Lepisosteus oculatus: one gene and its partner. The main gene of each other region encodes a partner of the protein of the gene in region 2 in a complex. Links are inferred from orthologs where the notes say so. Each region holds a gene or a part of one and is shown on either strand. Other genes may lie near its edges. The genes, in order: prozb and serpina10a.

Region 1 (10,116 bases), on a different chromosome or scaffold from region 2:
CCATGATAGACAGCTTTCACGTTGACAGATTAATTCCCAGTCAGTGAACACTGTTGCTATCAATACCGCGTCAGCTGGTGAGTTCAACAGTGTTTACCAGTTTCACAGTTTGCCCCCCTGTAAAGCTCCATGCATTTGCACTCGTATCCTCCAACCTGGTCAGTGCACGTCCCTCCGTGCTGGCAGGGGTTGGGACTGCACTGGTCACCATCTGGGAAGAGGGAAACAGGGTCATCTACACTCAAGTCAAAGGGCGAAGAACCCGGGATTTCGCTTTTGAGTCACAGCAATGTTAAACCATCCCTGTCTTCAGCACGCCAAAACATTTTTGGAGATTATGAACGACCAAAAAGGGAAACAAGTATGAGTATTTAAGGAAATAACTTCTCACATGGTGCTCAGATGCAATGCAACCTACAGATCCGGATGATTAGATCTGGTCTATACATCTGTCCGTTTGCTGGAGCCTATCCCAGCATGCAACAGGCACAAGGCAGGGTCCACCCTGGACAGGATAGAAAATCTGGAGGAAAGCAGCCCTTCAGCACAAGGATTGTACAAATCTCGGCTGTAAGTAATAAGGTATTACTTAGTCATGAGAGCTAAAGGCCCTTTTTTGCTTTTCAGTTCGGCTAAAATGCCTTGAGTGTATTATCAGTGCAGTATCATGAAGTATATATCTACGTATTATATAAGTATATAATCTATATATTGTACTATCTTACAGTATGTTATCATTAAGTGTTGGTGCATGGTGTGCCCTGTGTGGATCAGTATAATATGTGATAAATAACTGATGGATGCCAGTCCATGCACTCACACCAGGGCCAATTAACGTGCCAGCATGTCTTTGGACTGCGGGAGGAAACTGCGGAGAGCATTCGAACTCCACACAGACCGCACCCCAGCATGAGGCAGCAATAGTTCAGGTGGGTAGCTGCGTCAGCATGCGTAGGCTGCAAAGGAACAAGTAATAGGTTTATTCCATGCTGAAAAAAAGAAGAAAGAGAACAAAACATTTCGGCCGTGGAGCCTTCTTCAGGTGTGAGAGAGACAGGGCAGTAGGCAAAGGTAAAGTAGCGGGAGAACAAAGGTTGGGAGGGAGGAGGAGTGAGAGGCGGGAGCAGGGGACAGAAAGAGAGGCCAATCAAGAGGTGTGAAATGAAACTTCCAATGAATGGAGAAAATTTAAAAGAACAGTAATCTGTCGTTAAGGGAAGGGAGAATGTGTGATCCTAGCTGCAGAATAATTTTAGTTTCGGTGGTCTTTCTGATGTATGAGTTCGGAAAACCATCTTGGAGAACACAGACGGAGAGATTAGAGTGGTCGTGGCCGTCAGAGGTGAAATGAGAAACAATGGGCTTGGAGAGATCTTTAATCTTCACAGCCCTGACGTGTTCTCTGAAGCGGTCTCCGAGTCTCCTTCGTGTTTCTTTCTTCTTTTTTTTCAGCATGGAATAAACCTATTACTTGTTCCCATGAGGCAGCAATGCCAGCCAGCGCTCCACTGTGCCTCTGACAGGCGTTCTAGGGAATCTTTATTTTTCATTATGAGAAGCGCACTTTCAATGAGCTAAAGAGCTGGTTAGGAGAGAAATATGGAAATGCCGTAAATATGCTTAAACTACATAAGAAATATTGAAGAAATGTGTGTAATTATCCAGAAAGTTAGATATGCATGAAACATCACCGACATTTCGTTCTGTAAGAACACCATTCATACCTTTGTAAACGGCCCAAAATTTGTTCTAGAAAACAAACACAAAAAAAACAGACTTTAGTTCAACTCTGCAGGACATTACACCTTACAGCTCTGTTTGAAGACACTTTGAATAAAATAATTTCTAGAAATAGCCAGCAGCACAGTTCTGTGGTTTGGTTAGGCAAAGAGGGGTGATCACAGACTTTTAGAAGGAGTGCTGGGAGTTTTGTGGAACAGGTTGTGCTTTGGGAATGTTTTATGGGACTTATGGTTCATGTTTTACTCTAGTCTGTGTAAAGGGCAGAAATTAGAGATATGTAGTTAAGGTGAACGTTTATAGTTTTTTTCTAATTAGATACCTAATGTATCTGAACAAATTGGAATACTTCAAAAGTAATAAGATCGTTGCAGATAATAATTACGCAAAAAATACGGATGACACCCGAAGAAGGCTCATCAGCCCAAATGTTAGATTTCTTCAAATTTTCAACTTAGAAATAAACTTTACTTGTGCCATTGCTGCCAACACTGAGACCCCATCCATACCCTTTTTGCATTTACTGTATAATTGGTAATAGCAGTATAAACTATCATAATATTTTCAATCTGCTGAATCCACGTGTGACATTTAGTTTATATCATGACAATCATTTGCTGTTGCAAAAGCAAGAGGGCTGTCTTAAATCACCTACAGCGCATACACACTAATGCCGTAGTTTGAATCAAATTGCACGCTGGCCCTGTGCCTGCATCTGTGCAGTCTGTTACCCCTGGAGGAAAGGGCTTAACCAGGCCAGCGAGTGAGTTACAAAAAGCAGCAAAGCAGCTTTGGTCCATGCATTTCAAAGAAAAATACGAACCGTTTTGTCTGTGTCTTCAAAAACTTCTCTGGCTTCCTCATAGGTGCAGAGTTCTTCATGGCACTCTCTTTCCAAGTTGCCCTTTAGGATCTCCTCGACGAGCATGAAGTTCGCACGCTTAGTTCTTCGGAGGATCTGGGCGGCTTCCTCCTGGGTCTGAAAGACTGGAAGAAAAGCGACGCTCTGCAGTGACCTGTTTCTTTCCGTAGCGCCGCAGCAATGAGCGTGAGGCAAGTGCACAACGGCATCAAGCTGGGACTGTTTGTGTCACGACCAAGAAACACAGCAGCCCCCCGACTCGGTGCCTTCAGCCAGGAAGAGTTCTCACATTGCGCTTCCCTGCCATTTATTCTTCTTATTTACTATTGTTGTCATCCTGTAAAGCGCTTTGAGAAGCCACCTTTAAAGGCGCTATATAAAATAAAGTTTATTATTATTAAAGTTTATTATTGTCGATTCAGGGTCACATAAAGCTTTATTCCGTGCTGAAAAGAGAAAAAAGGAAACACAACATTTCGGCTGTGGAGCCTTCTTCGGGTGGTGTGTTCCCTTTCTTCTCTTTTCAGCACAGAATAAACCTTCAGGCGTTGCTTTGCAGCCTACTTGAACTACATTGTCGATTTAGCTGCGGATACCGAAATTCAAATTTTCCAAATCTCGCAAACAATTGGGTTTTTATTGGGTTTAACATCATCCATCCCATTTCCTCCCTGCGTTATCCGATACAGGGCCACGAGGAGCTGAAGCCTGACCCGGCAAGCCACGGACACAAACACAGGATACACCCTGGACAGGACTCCAGACCATCGAAGAGTGCACACAGACACCTACCAGCACAAGCAGAAACCCACACAAGCACAGGGAGAACATACAAACTCCACACAGACAGCAGGCTGGGAAGTGAACCCAAGCACAAAGTCCCTTTAGAACTAGCCTGCGATTTCCACTCTCTGTTGATTAACCCAGTTCATGAGAAATATTGATCAGCGTCATGAATTTGCCAAGTCTGTTCAATGACAAGTCAGTGTAGCTGCTACAATTTATTTCCCTGAAGTCCATCTGTTAGATGCTCGTGTTTCTCTTGCTGAATGTATTAGATGATATACAGTACACACACCGTACTGTAATACAGTAGTATATACAGACTATAAGAGAAGTGTGACAGTGCCAAATGCAGACCAGAATGAAGACAATCATCTTCAGTCAGGTGTAGCATGCAATAGCTTTCAATCCCAAATCAAAAGCAGCAAAGGTCTCTCATGACTACAGGGATGTGCTGTTGTGTTTGTCTTTCTCTCATTGAGGTCTTTTGTCTTGAAATGAAAATGGGAAAGATATCTTGAAACGGGCCAGTGGAATATTCTAATAAAGAACTAAAACTGAAATGAAAGAAACCAAAAACATACAAAAACTTTTGACAAAAACATTTTTGGTTTAAGTCTGATCTCTTACTCTGAAATGAATCCTGCTGTACTGTGCAACTTACTTTTCTTAAGTCAGCAACACTGGGTGGCCTTTGTCTAAAATCTTCAACAGTATAAATTAGTGTGCTGAACACAAAATCACAACATTTCCTGATAAGAAGCTTAGAGATTCGTGAAGCTTACATCTCTTTTCAAAGTGAAAACCCTTTACAAGAATCAAATAAAAATGCAATAAATGCTTTATTGTTCCTGATCACTACTCTTAAAATGTTAAATCCAAGAATAAGTCTTGCCAACTGTAACACGCAGATTTGACGTTGCACTGTTAGTGTATACGTATGTCGACATTACAAAAACATTTTTAAATAGCAATAGAAAAGTATTACCTTCATAATCAGCACCAGTTATGGAAAAGAACCCCACAAGTGTCAAACATAAAAACCAGTCCAAAGACACCATGATGACACCAACCTATTCAGATGCTACTGTACAAAGAGCTTAAAACAAAACCTTCACTCTGAGGACAAAGATCACCAATTCTTACTCGGAGTATTGCATAACCTTTCTGCATTGGGGCAATATTTGGTTTAAAGCAGGGGTGGACTTTACATTGCTCACTGTTTTAAAACATTGCTTTTCAACTGCTGCTAGAAAAGAAAGAATATCCTTAGTAATACCATTATAAACATTGCACTATTTTGTTTTTAAACATGACACTAAATCAGAGAAGCTAAAATAATCTAGAATCTGGTATAGTTTGTAATCTAGTCAGGTTCACAGGTTCTGTTCATCACCCCTCTGCTCCTACTGTATTCAGTACCCCCATCTACTGTCTCAATTCATCATGCATATCCTGTGTAATTTGTTTATTGTTACTGTCATTCTTTAAAGAGCTTTGAGAAGCCACCTTTAAGGGTGCTATATAAATAAAGTTTATTACTGTCAGACATTTCAGATGTTCAGTTAATTGTAAGCTGTAAACACAACTAAATAAACAAGAAATAATGAAATAATAAATGTAAAGTGAAAAAATCATTTCACATAATCATATTGCACCCCTGCTACTGCTATTCAGCATGATCAGTGACATAGTTTAAGATGCACATGGATAGAATTGTTAAAATTTATCCTCATGTAAATTGCATTTTTGTCCAGTTGGTGTCAGTGTTTTCAAATGGTTGAATATATGTACTGTAGGCTTTGGGTGTTTTTATTAGTACATGATTATCAAGATGTCAAAAAGAATTGTCCCTAATATTAACTTCTTGTAATGCTGTAATTTTTTCTACTGTGTTTCTTATGATGAAACGTCTACACATTGCTCATGTAAGGTGTACATGTTTTATCAAGGTTTCATTTCTGTCCATTATAGTTTTATTTTTGTAAAGACAGTACAATGAATACACATGTGAAGTGCACCAAACTAAGCAATGCGCACTTCAATGAAAGGAAAGGGTGCAATTATATTTCTCAAAGGACATTCCAAGCACAGAACATCACATGCATCAGTTTAATTTTAGTACTGACATTGTGTTTTTGTCCATGGAAAACTACTTTTCACTTTTTAGAAAAATGTCCTGTTGATAAAGTGGTGATAGTGATATGTTTATAGTGGTAGTGATAAATTTGTTCCAGACTGTATGTATTCTGGGGTTAAATGGGAAGATCTGCCTGTTTTCCAGGTTTGACCTTTAACAGTAAGCAATCATTTGTCTGGCTGAGGATTGTTTTTCTGTTAAAAGCTACCTGCTTTGCTGGTCTGTTTGACTGGAACATACAGTACTATCGACCAATTCAAGGTCAGAGTTCAGTCGCTATTACAGTATTTCTCCTGAATTCAATGTTTTTAATGAACAGGGATCTGAATTTTGGTCTAATCTAGCTTTGAATCGAGCTACCTGGTTACTTTTTAACAAACTACTTAACTTCTATTCAAACATTTTTGCTGCAAATGTGTACAGTTTGCCAGAATTATATAAGTTGTATGACTTTGTGATCACCCCTGTAACTGGGAACCTTTGGTATCCATTTTTTTTGTACAATGATCATTCCCCCTGGAGCGACATAGATTAGAGCCATACCACAGTATGATTACTTATATGTATAATTTCTGTTTGTATAAAGTCATTCAGAACAGGTTTAGAAAATAAATTCCAGAAAGCACAATTATAATAAAGAATGAACCCACTGATATAGTTTGTGAACAGCAGATATTTGGGTACTGGAACTTGAAGAGGAAAATAAATGGACAAGATTTGTTTATGTAGACTTGTCAAAATCTTTTTTTTGAGATAATTCAATAATGCAATAAAAACGAGAGGAAAGTGGTAAAATATGTTCTCTACATTTGAACCACAGTGGAGCTCAGTTTAAGGAACTGGGACTCTTCCCTTTTGTCAGAAAACATCATTACAATATATATAAATTCTTTAACAGAAATAAAAGAGGTTAAAATAACTCCTAGGATCACTCTGAGGTGGTTTTTCCACCAGTACAACATTTCCTCCACTGTTTCTATGCCCCCTTAAAATGACCAGACTAAAAGTGGAAAGAAACTGTAATAACTACCATAATAACGGCCAGGAGCCGTTTGGACTGTGGGGTACAATGGTCTGAAAATGACTCTGTTGGCATTTTCAGCCTGCAAATGAGGAGACAAAAAGATTTGATAAAAAATATTTAAAAAAATGAAACTGACGAAATGATCAATTAGAGGGATTCAAAAGGTTTACAGGGACCAGGGGACACTGTTACATATAGGATAGTGAGAAACAAGGACATTTAGAGCTGAAAATACTGTTAGATGCACAAGGATCAAAAAGACAGTAGGAACCAAGTGGCCTAAAGACGGGCTGATCTTGTACTCCTTCATGCTCTAAAGAAATCTTAGAATCTAATTTAATTTCAAATGACACAAATCAGCCGGCAGCCATACCTCCCTGCAGCTCTCAGTCTGGTCAGCACCTGGATGGGAGACCCCCTGGGAAAGCTGCTGGGAGAGGTGTTAGTGGGGCCAGTAGGGGGCGCTCACCCTGCGGTCTGTGTGGGTTCTAATGCCCCGGTATAGTGATGGGGACACTATACTGAAGTGGCACTGTCTTTCGGATGAGACTTTAAACCGAGGTCCTGACTCTCAGTGGTCATTAAAGATCCCCGGGCATTTCTCGAGAAGAGTAGGGAGTTATCCCAGTGTCCGGGCCAGATTTCCCTCCTCGGCCTTTACCGTGGCCTCCAAACTGTCCCCATGTATGACTGACCTGCACTGGCCCTGCGATGGACTGGCGTCCTGTCTAGGGTGTACCCTGCCTTGCGCTCGTTGCTTGCCAGGTAGGCTCCGGCCTCCCGCGACACCGTAGGGTATAAAGTGGTTTTGGCAAATGCCATGACACAACACAAATCAAAATGAATTTGTCATTTCAGCGTTTTCACTTCTGATGAGAAAAATCACTTCTAAAAGTCCTTTGATCAGTATGGTGGGGTGGGGTGTGGCACGACCGCCTCACAGCCTGTAGGTCTTGTGTTCAGCTCTGGACTGGGGAGGCATCTGGCTGAAGTTCATGTTCCCTCTGTGTTTGTGTGGCTCTTCTCCGGTTGACTCTGACCCTCCCAGGGTCTCACAGTTGTGTGCAGTGTGAGTGACGCAGTGCCATTCCATTCACAGAGCAGTGCTGGAGTGCACCTTGTTCCCCTGAGATAGGCTCCAGGTGGGGCCCCCCCCTCACTGGGAACCAGCAGCATTCCGATGATGAATGTGTCACATATACGATGATTTTGCATTTGCAATGATCTCAGGTCAGATTTATTTCAGAAAGACGCTCGATTTCATTTAGCTCTATGTAGAAATTGATCAAGTAGAAGCCTATCACCGATACACCCATCCGTGTATCATTCAAGCGAGATCTGCTGTTTCTCAGGGATGCTAGATTGGCATGAAGGAATTCACGTGCACAGGGAGTGAAACTGCACTGGGAAACTGGTGAGGTGTAGAGGATGTTTCTATTGCTTGGAGAGCTAGAGGAAGGCAGCCACGTTCCATAACTAATACAGCAAAAAAAGTATCTGAAAGGGATAAAAGCACATTGTTTAGGATATATTTCTAGTGTATTGAATACTGTACTGTAGATGTGTTACTGACATACCAAGCACCGCTAACATTTCAATCATCTGGTATTCAAGCCCCAGATGTACAAAATCAGCAAACGAGACCTTTAATGCTTTCTGTAAACAGCGTCTTCATTTAATTTCTTTTCAGGGTTATTCCACTGCCATGGAAAAAGACTGAGATACAGAGCCACGCTTAAAATTCACACATTACTCAATTCATCAGATACTGAAATTAGTAGTATTAGTCATTCTGTTTGCCCGGTGTAAAATCGTGAACAAATCAGAAGCAAAGGAAAGGTCATGCTTTACTGAAGTACTTAATAACTGCTTTGATCCATGGAAGGAACTTGGACACCTGCGTGTAGACCCCATATTTGCCTTCCCTGGCACAGCCCTCCCCCCAGCTCACTATCCCAGTGATGAACCACGTGTCTTTGTACTGTGTGACATGGGGACCGCCACTGTCCCCCTGGCAGGCATCCTTGGCTACCTTGTCATAGCCAGCGCAGAACATGTTAGCGGAGATCTGGGCCTGACTGGACTCGATGCACATGAGCCTGTCCACGTAGGGCACAGTGAGCTTCTGGAGGATGGTGGACTGCCTGCCTCTCTCGTGAGTGCGCCCGAAGCCACTGATCTGGGCGTCGTTCTGCTTCATCAGGACCTTCTCGGCGAAATCTTTCTCCGGAAGGCAAGCCGGAATGATGAACTTGGTGAATTTGACGGGCTCCTTCAGCTTGATGATGGCTATATCGTTGTCGTAGGTGTCCGTGACGTACTTATTGTGAATGATCACTTTCTCCACGGGATATGTTTCCTCACTGTCATCAGTCTTTTCTGTGTCATAGTCCCCTGAAATTTAGGGATATAAAAGTTTGAATTTATATGTAATTTACGGCATAAATATGAACGGTTGTTCTAGTGCTGTATATTTTATTATTAGCTAATACTTTTCAAAAATCAAAGTTCCCATGGAACCTTTTCTGAAGAAACAGTGAATATTTATTTTAAAGCATATTAGGTCTATTTTTCAATATGTTAAAAAAAGCTTTATGTTTTCATCATAATACATTTGGCTTAACATGCTGAGCTGAAGGCAAACAAATTCCATTTACACTGCATAAAGGGCTTAACACAAGTGAACTGTGTAACTCATTATTAACAATATAACTTGACTATTGGTCTAAACAATATACTGACTGATTAAATATCCTTCACTCTGAAAGAGGAAAAATTAGATAAGGAGACACAAACATTTTATGCTATTGAATCCTCAAATATAATAAAAAAAAGACACATACCAAGCCTTACTGTAAATGACTTAGACTCTCTCATGCAATGTGCGGCTGATAATATAATATGTTCAGTCAGAATGGTCCCACCACAAAATCCTACTCCTTCCTCGTTTATTAAAAGAGCCTAAAAAAGTAAAGACAAAAAGAAAAATAACATGAAAGAGCAAATGACATACCAATGACTTACAATTTGCATCCAGGTAGTGTATTGTTGGTTCAGTCCCGTAAGCTTTATGTACTCTTCATAACTGATGTCTTTTATTTTTCATTTTTTTTCTTAATTTCATTCAAATTCTGTCTTAATTTCATTCAGTTGTCTGACTTACCCCCTGGCTGAAAAACAAGTTCAACTATACACCTGGGACTGCAAATTTACAAGGCAACAACTGAAAAGGATGTTGTAGCACCTATCTCTGCCCCTTCGATATCCTGTTGTGAGTGCTCTCAGCCACTGCGCTTTCCCTGCTCCTTCTCTTCTGAAGCAGGACGGCCAGCACGGCCAAAAGCAGCGTGTGGAGAAACTAACACAGAGGTCAAAGCAAGACAAGGTGGAGAGTGACAGAATGTGAAAACACCTGAGCTGCATGTCTTCAAATATGCCTATACAGCATGGCAGCATAACAAATGTGTATAAGCAGCTTCCAAATGCATGAGGAAAAATGGACTGCTGATTTCCTGATCATTATAGAAAGTATATATGTTATTTCTTTCAGTCCTGGTGTTCTTTATA
Region 2 (10,224 bases):
TCTTCAGGTACTACAGGCAACACTAAGCTTCCTGATCCCAAAGATGAAAATATTGCCCATACATCAACATCAGGCCAGAATGAAACGCTAACAGCAGAGGAGCTTCGAAAGAGAAGGCAGGCCTATTTTGACAAGTAGGTTTGTCCACCTTTCCATTTTCCTTGTTTCATTTTCAGGTTATCCTTTAGTGTCTCTGAGAACTACGGACTGTCTGTGTAGCACCAGTCTGGAGTGATGGTGTCACATGATAGACACAAAATAACTAGACGACTCCTATTTTGGGGGAAAAAAACATGTATTTTTCCATCTTCAGGAATATAAAAATGGCTTTAGTTTATTTCATATTCCCTTTCAAGTTAGTTCCACCACATGAACTTGAAATTAACACTGCATAAAAATACAAAAAGTTTTTCACAAGTATGTAAAAGGCTTCCAGGTGACCCAACCAGCAGAAGTGCTCAATGAGACAGCATACTGGACCTTTTAGACCAAGCATTACTGGTTCATGTAGGCAATGGCATTAGTAGATAATTCACCAAGCAGCAGAACACAATTGATCAAGCACCAGTCTACCAGGTTATCCTTTTTTAATCACAGTGAGCTATGTGCCTGTGAACATTTAGTGTCATCAGTGTGAGCCACATCTCTCCATTCTATGTGTGTACTCTGCAGTGGAAGCTGGGGTTCACAGTAGGAATAAAAGGCAGGGTGGACTTTTGTCTAGAAGTAATGGGTCAGCCAAAAGCCAGAAAGGAATGTACCCAACAAGATATTCTTCAACATGAAGTAGATTAAAGATATTAATGATAAATCCCATTTTATGACAGGCAGTCAACACAGCAGGCACGAGCTACAGCACCACAACAGCAAGAAAGCAAAAGCACTGGCACACTGGCAAATGACACAGGTAATATAGACACATCAGTGGCAATAGGACTTTTGATTTGTGATCTATTTTCCATTATGGGTTTATGAATATGAGGGCCTTATTTTATCTCTTTGAAAATCCTGGGTAAACTGAACTCTTCCTACTTATTTCATTAAATGTTTCTACAGTTTACCCACCAGGAAATTCAAGTGGGTAATGTGCTGTAAATTGCAATAAATGTTTTAGCTAACATAAACTGAGAGTATTGATCAAGCATGATTTGTGTGAATTGGAAATACCAAAACATGAAGAAAATAAAATCATGATATGGGAGCTGCCACAACCAGTCTCCTGCGTCTCCTTTCTGTGTAATTGCTGCTTAGAAAACGGTTCCATTTTTAACTGGGGGGGATTAAAAAAAGGCCTAGTACTTCTCTACAGTTTTATTGTTTTGATTGTTCTGTTATTGTGGAGGAGAATTTAAAATCCTTCAGACACTTTACAAACCAGTTATGTTTGTCTGCTTTGCACTGTTTAAACAGGGGAGGCTCCAAATGAGCAAAACGCAACACAGTCAACCTTAGGTCTAACTCCGGAGCAGCCTGACTCCAAGACAAGTCAGTAAAACATGGAGAATCCAGTGGTCAGTCCCAGAGTACTCTTCGCAATGCCCGTCCTTCTGTTCTGCTGAACTGTAGCAGCTGGTTGACCCAATGCATGAGCACAGAGCGTGTTGACGGAGGACTGGGTTTACAGATACTTGGAAAGGAAAACCGAGGGTGGGGGTTTGCGATCCTGTAACTGTATAACTGCCATTCCGTGTCCATGACGGCCTTCTGCTTCAGCACCTTGTCGTTTATTTTATTTGGTTTTTGTCATTCTCCTTCAAAAATGTGCATGTTTGTGCAAAATGCATTAATCAATGTAAGTAGAAGGGAAAGGGGAATTTGCAGTTTCTGAAAAACAGGGTACATGATGGATCTACAAGGTGTCCAGACTGTCCCTTTTGGAAAGGTATGGGACCACATGTGAATGAATCCTTTGTCCGATACGGTCAGTTCAGATCCCCCCCCCCCCCAACTCCTCCCAGAATCCTGTTGGAAAGGGTGTCAAATCTTGACAGATAAAAGAATGATAGATTCTGTTTTCAGAAAACCGTAAAAAAATAGCATTAATTAAGTCTCCTAGGAATCGGAAAAGGTCTTTACTCATTGGCCATAACTAAAAGGAGAACTTCTTTCTTCCGATATTAATTTATGAGGCTTTATCATTTAAAGTCTTTCCGCTAGGAATCTGATTTTGTAAAAAATTCATACATCACCATAACTTTACTATTTACCTTACTGTACATTATGTTTTAAACCTCCTAGATAAAAAATAATTAACACTATTTTATTATAATTTACTGTAGGGGCTATGAAGTGTTTACTTTTTTGTGCGTTTACGTTGATGTTACATTTATTTGGTCCAAGAAGAGGTGCCAATTTTCAAAGTATGTAGGTTTCGGTTAAAAGTTCTCCGGATGTAAAATTTCTTATCATTTATATTTCTCACATTTTTAAGTTCTGAGGTATACATAATTAGTAAAAAGTTAAAAGGGTCAGGTTGTCTTTTGTTTTAATAGTTTTCATATCATGATTTAATGTTTTGTTTATTTTGTTTATTACTGGGATCACTCTGAACATAAAAGGTTTAGGATTTTGTTTTGGCATTTATTAGTGCGGCAGATCTTAACAGTTTTAGAGATATTTAAATTATTTGATTTTTTTAAATGTAAACTGCATTGCCACATGATTGTCTACTTTGAAAACCTTTTCTTCCCATAAATAAACCTTTTTTTCCATGCCAGTCTGTTCTTCATTTTTTCCCTTTATAATGTGCAGCTTATGTATACTTTTTTACCAAAAGATCTCCAGAGGATTGCAATGTATACTGTACATGTTAAATATAGTGGTGGTCTCATTTTTACTAAATTTCAGATTTTCAGAAACCTAGAACTTTGCAAATAGAAACATCTTTTTCTTTGTAAAGTTGTACCTTTTTGTGACATGGAAGGTTGCACTATTATTCTGTTGCTTGAATTCTAATCTCATATCAACTTTGCATTTTTCTATTTTGAAATCCTTCATTTTTAACAGCCAGAAAAATCCCTTGACTTTTACATAATTGGAAAAGAGATGAGCTAGTTTTACATAACCTCTTTGAGGAAAAAAGAAACCTGCAATAAGAACTGGCCCTTACTTAGGCCATCGTGAGAGGGCTGAAGAGGTGATTTTGCATTACAATAGTAGAAAACGACCATTGCTTTTCAAATAAGGCTAAAATCCCTACCAATTATTACACAAAAGCTGCTCGTCAGACTGCTTCTCAAACCTTTTTGTAATAGCCAAAATTTGTTATTCAGATTTAATATTAGCAAGGTTTTTAAAAATAAAAAATCGAACAAAGTTTGTGAAAGAATGGAAATTATTTGTTAACACAATTTATATATTCAATTCCATTGGAAATTAGAAGCTAGACATAGTGCACCGACTGATGCCATTGTGCCCTATTTTCCATGTTGCTGGCATCTGGAGATGTGAAGAAAGTACAGCTGGGAGGGAAAGACTAATTACCACCACTAATAACTCCAACAGAGGGAAGCTTTCAAGAACTCCCTCCTGTCTCAACGCTTCTGTAACAGCAGGAGGATCAAACTGCGCAAATAACACAATAGAATACCAGCTCCTGCAAAACTAAATTGCACAGTGATGTACTTTCCTGAAAGCAATTATCAAGTGTCATGTTTGCACAAGGGCTAAAGAAATTATGAACCAACACTTGAGATTATAGACTGGCACCATGTCTCACAATTGGCTGCATGAAGGTTTTCGAGTAGTGTTATGAAGTTTTGGCACTGATGTTAAAAGAAATGATGTTTCTCCATGTGATTGCTAGTTATCTGATAGAGGGATTTTCTTTTTTTTTCATTAAACACAAAATATATATAATTTATACATATACATTTAATATACTGATAATCTGTCTTAACTTGATTAACATAAATATTCCTTCGGACATTCTATTTAACCTATATTTCACTTTTAGCATTTTTATGATTTTGCAATTGTAGGTGATTCAGCAAATGTACTGTAGGTTCAAAAAGTTTGAGAGTGCCTTACTTTCCTTCCTGCTTGAATTTTGTTCCATATGAGACAGCTTGACACTTCCTTTTAAAACCAACTTGGTCATCTCCCAGAGCTGAGTGGGTATTTGTTCAGATTTAAGGATGTCATTAAATTCTGTGAAGTTATTCTATTTTAAAAAAAGTCCTCATCTTTTTTTTAAAAATAGATAAAAATGCTATCTGAAAGGTGTATATTTAAATCATATTTATGTGAAATTTTAAAACTAATGGGTTTATGGTTAGACAGAATGGTTGTATCATTTATTCTGATATTCTAGATAAAAGAGAATAATTTATCAGAAAAAGATCATCCCTAAAACGATTTATCACACGGAGAGTAATGTGAATATTCTCCACCTATAATTGTTTTTTACTTTGAAGAATTTTTAGTTTAGAGAAAGATAAAAAAAATCAGAGAATATTCTTTGGTCTGTATAGGTTTACTGCTAGAATATTGGATCACCATTCCACAATGCTTCCAAACTGTTTTGTGAAATGAAAACCTAGCGTTATGTATTTAATGTCTACACTCTGCTTAAGCACAATCTCATATTTCATACAAATGCACTGTCCGGCTTATTACGTTTGTATTTGTAGATTTCATTGTTAAAATTCCCCATGTTACATTGCAGTGTATTAAAAATATATTTGATTAGTCAATATCTGTGACTTCTGCATGCATGTCCTATGTGTGTTTCCATAATTGTTTTAGTAGACTGAACAGTAGATACAAAGATATACCTGAAAAAAGTACGACTTTACGTTTCACAAGAGGCCTAAATGATTTGTTTCATGACGTTTCAGAAAGTTCAGCTGTTTAGAAATAAATGAAAGCACCAAGCAGTTAATATGTTGTGTATTAACAAAATAATGTGCATAAAAACAAATGATTTTTTCAATCATTTAAACTCTGCGTAGCATAATGTGCACTACTGTTCAAAGGTGTGTAAACAATGAATAATATCAGTATTGTTCATTCATTTTCACTCTTAAATATTATTCCCACTGTCATATTAAAAATGTTTTTGTCCAGAAAGATTTGAAACCTGAGTTTTTCTGAGCCACCCAGCATTGAACCTCTTGAAAAAAGCTGGCCATTATTTACAAAATAGTTAATAGACAACCACAAAAGTACACTTGCACTTTGCTCCTCTAAACATTATATTTGGGTATTTTCTTTTGCCTGTAAGACACTTTTGAGACAAAAAAAGTAGAGAAGCAGGAACAGAAGCCAAATATTGTAAGTTAAACATCATCATTCTATTTAATCTTTAAGTCGGATTTACAATATAGCTGTACTATGGTGTACTATGGTGGTAAAAGGAGGAGTAAATCACAATATTGCATTTGCGAGAAAATTGTCAATTCCGTGTTTAAACATGTTAAACTACTAATAGTGTAAAGAAAATATCTCTGAAATAAACCAGGGTAGTAAGTGAAGCATCATAGCTTTAGGGATCTGGGTTCAATTCTAGGCTGTTGTGCATGCTGGGTGGCTTTCTACAGTATGTTATATGTGCATTTTCTCTTTGTACAGTAAGCATGATTTTTCTCCAGGTGTGCCTGGTTTCCCCTCTCTTCTTAACGAAACCTGGTAGATTGATTAGCTATGCTAAATTGCCAAATCCACGAGGAGTGGGGTCTCTGTCATTAATCTGCCGGTAAAACATAGTTCTCCTACAATACTGACCTCAAAATATGTGAGATAAGGTTCAGATGAAGAATATATAGATATCGGAATGACTTACTTATTAATCATCAATTCTATATTTAAGTAATAATTCAAAATTATGACTTAAATTTATGTAAAATTTGTGGTTTTACAAACCTTTGAACAGAACTACATGTACTGTACATGTATGTAATGTTTACATTGCATTGGAGCATTACACAATGCAAACATATTATATTTTGCTTTTTACTAGCATGTTTTCATTGCTTGAGAATTAAAACTGCACAAATGCCTCACACCCTGCCTTATGTTGCATTTTATTGTGTCTGTAGGGGTGAAATCAAAATGAAGACAAGACTTCTTTTTCTGGTATGTGCCTCACTCTTTGCCCCCCTGAGCAAAGGTCAGAAGGAAAATCCCACTATCATGGACCTGTCTACAAAAAACACAGATTTTGCTATGAACCTTTACAGGAAGCTTGCCAGCCATCATGATGACAACATCTTCTTCTCCCCTTTGTGCATGTCAGTAGCATTCACCATGCTATCGATGGCTGCAAAAGGGGATACTTACAATCAGATCCTTAAGGGTCTCAACCTCCAACTGCTTCAACGAGCGGACCAGGCAGACCTGATCCCTGAACTGTTCCGACAACTGGAAGCCAATATCACCCAAAACCAAGACTTGATACTGGCCCGGGGCAGTGCTATGTTTGTTCATCAGCAGTTTGAAATTGATAAGATTTTCAGTGAGCAAATCAAGAAGTTCTTCAACTCAGATATAATGAACATAGATTTCTCCAAGACCGAAGCTAGCAAAACAACCATTAATGATTATGTAAAAATGAAGACGAATGAAAAGGTCATGGGGCTCATCAGTCAGATAGATCCTCTTACTCAGCTGGTGCTTGTAAATACCATTCTTTTCCAAGGTGGGTGAATAATAATACTGTAGCAACCTCACAGATGGTAAAATGAGGATAATGAAGAGATTACAGGTTTACCGTTCAGATTTGATGTTTTTATGATTTAGTTTGAAATTCAACATATAATGGAGTATAAATATATTATTAATATTATGTTAATGCCCAGAATTGTCTGGATGCTCAATTGAAATGTCTTGAGCAAACCTTTCTTTAATGAATCAAAATTTAGAGCCGTAGCTACAACAAATATCTCTATTGTTTAAAATAATTTACTTAGTAAAGCATTTTAAACAATAGAGATTTTGATATGGTTGAAGAAAGTAACACTAGAACTCTTCAGTTTAATATTGGCTCAAAATCTGAAGGTAATTATGTAAAAAGTGTTCTACATTGTTTAAATACATATTATTTATGTTGTGTCTGTTTATATATTATAATAAAAAAGAAACCCAAAAAAGAAAAACATGAAACTTCCTGACAAGTTGGCATTGACTCAGATTTCATTTGTTATTAAACAGATTTGACTTTGTCTTCGTTTAGGCAAATGGGAGCTACCATTTAACTCCAGCTTTACAGAGGAAGCACGATTTTATGTTGACAAATACAATATTGTCAAGGTCCCCATGATGTTCCGAGAAGATAAATATTACTTGGCCTACGATCCTGTGCTGAAGCTCGGCATTCTAAAGTTGCCATACAGAGGCCATGCTGCAATGCTGGTCCTTCTTCCTGACAAGGGTGTTGACTATACATCCATCGATGATGAAATCTCTGCAGAGAGCTTTCTGGGATGGATACAGAAACTGAAGAAAACGTAAGCAGACCTCTAATAAGTGCTTTCTTTTTTAATGTATTTAGTTGGAAAACTGGAAAGGTACACGCAAACCTTACAGAGCCTTGCAAAAGTATTCAGACTCCTCTGATGTTGTCCCATTTTGCAGAATTACAAAACGCACACCTCTTTTTCAATTTAATGTTTTATTCTAAACCTGAATGCTCGAACTGAAGAGGTGTCAGGGTAAGATTAATGTCAGTAAATGTCAGTAAAAATAAAGAGAAAAAAATGAAATCTGTTGATTGCACAGGTATTCAGATTCATTTGGGATTCAAACATAGTGCAATTTTAACCATCTTTTTTGGCAGATTTGCTCAAGCTCTCTCAAGTTGCTTGAGGATAATAATAATAATAATTGCTAACACTTATATAGCGCTTTTCTGGACACTCCACTCAAAGCACTTTACAGGTAATGGGGACTCCCCACCACCACCACCAATGTGCAGCATCCACCTGGATGATGCGACAGCAGCCATAGTGCACCAGAACGCTCACTACACATCAGCTATCAGTGGGGAGGAGAGCAGAGTTATGAGGCCAATTCATAGATGGGGATTATTAGGAGGCCATGGTTGGTAAAGGCTAATGGGAAATTTGGCCAGGACACCGGGGTTACACCCCTACTCTTTTCGAGAAACGCCCTGGGATTTTTAATGACCACAGAGAATCAGGACCTCGGTTTTACGTCTCATCCGAAGGACGGCGCCTGTTTACAGAATAGTGTCCCCGTCACTATATTGGGGCATTAGGACCCACATGGACCGCAGGGTGATCGCCCCCTGCTGGGCCCACTAACACCTCTTCCAGCAACAACCTTAGTTTTTCCCAGGAGTTCTCCCATCCAGGTACTGACCTGGCTCACACCTGCTTAGCTTCAGTGGGTTAACAGTTGTGAGTTGCAGGGTGATATGGCCGCTGGCAGTAAGAAAAGAAACATTTAATCAATATCCAAAATCAGTATACTTCATTTTTTTTATGATCACCCTGGTCACTTGTGGATAGCAGTTTTCAAGTCTTTCCACGGGCTCTCAATAGGATTCAGGTCAAGACATTAACTGAGCTGCTCAAGGACAGGCTGCCTTCCACTTCCTAATGATCAGCTTACCCATGCACAAGGAGATATTAGAGTCTTTGAAGTGAATTTATACTCTTCTGTACCTTTACATAACTTTGTTACAAGGCATCTGAATACTCAAAACTGAACCCAAGAGCAAGAAAATGGAGAGTGGATGAAACACCCAAAGATCCAACTCGGCTTGAGCCGAGGGAAAGTGAAGTAAAAAGTAGTGCCAATACAATGATACATTACTGGCCAGTGGGGGGATTAGCCCAGGCCCAGGTTAGTAAAGAAAGAGAAAAGGGCAAAGCTGCTACAGTCTAAAGAGAAGCTGGCTGGCAGCATCGCAGGTGAAAAAAGGAAAAAGGGATAGCATGGTGACCTCAGTCCTTGATCAGAATCAGGGAGTTTTGGCTCTTGGGAAATTGCTCTCTCGACTTTGGAGTGGATACCTACTGCTGTGCTCCCCAAAACAAGGGGACCGCATGGGTCTGGTGGGCAGTCCTAGTCTGGGTTAATTAGACTGGGGTGCAGGCAGGTGGACAAGCAGACTGGTGCAGGAGAAAATTAAAGGGAAGAAATCTTCCTTTAAGAACTGGCCACCGAAGCAAAGATTGCCCTAGCCCGTCAGCAAGCAAAAAGAATAGAGATAATAAGTTCACTGTGGCGAGAAAAGAGAAAGGCTGGCATTACACAACACCAGCCCTCATTCAAACTGCCCACCTCAGCCCATGGACTGGGATCAGGGGGCCTTAGCTCTTGGAATATTGCTCTCTCGGCTTCAAATTCCTACTGCAGAGCTCCCAGAAAGAGGGAGCTATACAGGTTGATGGGGGGCAGCCCTCTTGTGTAGCCAGGGATGTGGACTGGCAAGCTAACAGGATAACACACAGAATAAGAAGCACTCATTAAGTGCTGCCTGATTTAATTGTCAGTCCTCAAAAATGTTACTGTGTATCAGGTAAATCTATTATGGCTGATTATCCATATCATGTCATCATGCTCCAAGAATAAATATATATATATACTCTGTCATTGTGTTGCAGAAAACTAGAAGTACAGCTGCCTCGGTTCAAGATGGAGCAGTCCTACAACATGGACAAAATTCTTCCAGATCTGGGCATTCGAAACGTGTTTGAAAATACGGCTGACCTTTCAGGCCTAAGCAAGGAAGTGGGACTCAAAGTTTCTGAGGTCAGTGTGATATGAAACAATATCTCATTTTAATAGCTCCTGTAGCTCCTGTAGTTTATTCACAACCATTTGTTCTGTCAAAAAGGCAACAGAATCAAGAAACTGTTGCAAAGGCTTTCTGTGGCACAGTGTACGGCACCTCTACCTCACTCCTCCACTGTTTGATTCTGAGCACCTGTCTGAGTGGAGTTTGCATTTTCACAGTACTGTATTCACACAGTCCAATTTTCTTCCTTGGTTAGGTGTTATGTTTGCAAACTCATGCAAAGTACTAGTTCTTAGTGTCTGATAACAGATAAATAAGATGCAATCCTTGGCACAAACCTTTAATTTGTAGCTTTTGTTGAAAGCTGTCACTGTTTCTATTCTGATTACAGGTCCTTCACAAGGCAGTGATAGAAGTGGACGAGAAGGGCACTGAAGCAGCTGGTGCAACAGCTACAGGAATAACAGGATACTCAATGCCACCAAGGCTGATAGTGGACCGTCCCTTCCTCTTCCTCATTT

What was found.
Region 1: the proteins of serpina10a (region 2) and prozb are in contact, whole or in part, in a crystal structure (PDB 3H5C), measured with the Homo sapiens proteins. The link is inferred for Lepisosteus oculatus from reciprocal best matches to the Homo sapiens genes SERPINA10 and PROZ. Residues at the interface, in NP_001094077.1 of Homo sapiens: Arg88, Lys89, Ser91, Met92, His94, Asp95, His257, Asp259, Lys260, Tyr261, Asn282, Phe283, Lys305, Met306, Asp308, His309, Leu310, Ala311, Leu312, Asp314, Tyr315, Leu316; in NP_003882.1 of Homo sapiens: Cys129, Pro131, Cys141, Leu142, Pro143, Ser151, His250, Met251, Arg252, Asp254, Ala257, Glu259, Asn260, Glu284, Lys285, Asp286, Phe287, His290, Leu291, Thr336, Thr337, Arg338, Arg390, Ser392, Leu393, Trp394, Gln397.

What each region holds. Positions count from the first base shown.
Region 1 is NC_090710.1:28,706,161-28,716,276, reverse strand, and holds the start of prozb (protein Z, vitamin K-dependent plasma glycoprotein b), read right to left. Parts: upstream 4,516-10,116; 5' UTR 4,447-4,515; coding exon 4,374-4,446; intron 2,728-4,373; coding exon 2,564-2,727; intron 1,750-2,563; coding exon 1,725-1,749; intron 212-1,724; coding exon 98-211; intron 1-97. Other genes in the region: f10 (coagulation factor X), read right to left, coding at 8,390-8,943, 9,393-9,510. UniProt on the Homo sapiens protein: Appears to assist hemostasis by binding thrombin and promoting its association with phospholipid vesicles. Inhibits activity of the coagulation protease factor Xa in the presence of SERPINA10, calcium and phospholipids.
Region 2 is NC_090703.1:18,767,301-18,777,524, forward strand, and holds the start of serpina10a (serpin peptidase inhibitor, clade A (alpha-1 antiproteinase, antitrypsin), member 10a), read left to right. Parts: upstream 1-5,166; 5' UTR 5,167-5,274; intron 5,275-6,038; 5' UTR 6,039-6,051; coding exon 6,052-6,637; intron 6,638-7,171; coding exon 7,172-7,445; intron 7,446-9,569; coding exon 9,570-9,717; intron 9,718-10,094; coding exon 10,095-10,224. Other genes in the region: atxn3 (ataxin-3), read left to right, coding at 8-134, 828-907, 1,411-1,493. UniProt on the Homo sapiens protein: Inhibits activity of the coagulation protease factor Xa in the presence of PROZ, calcium and phospholipids. Also inhibits factor XIa in the absence of cofactors.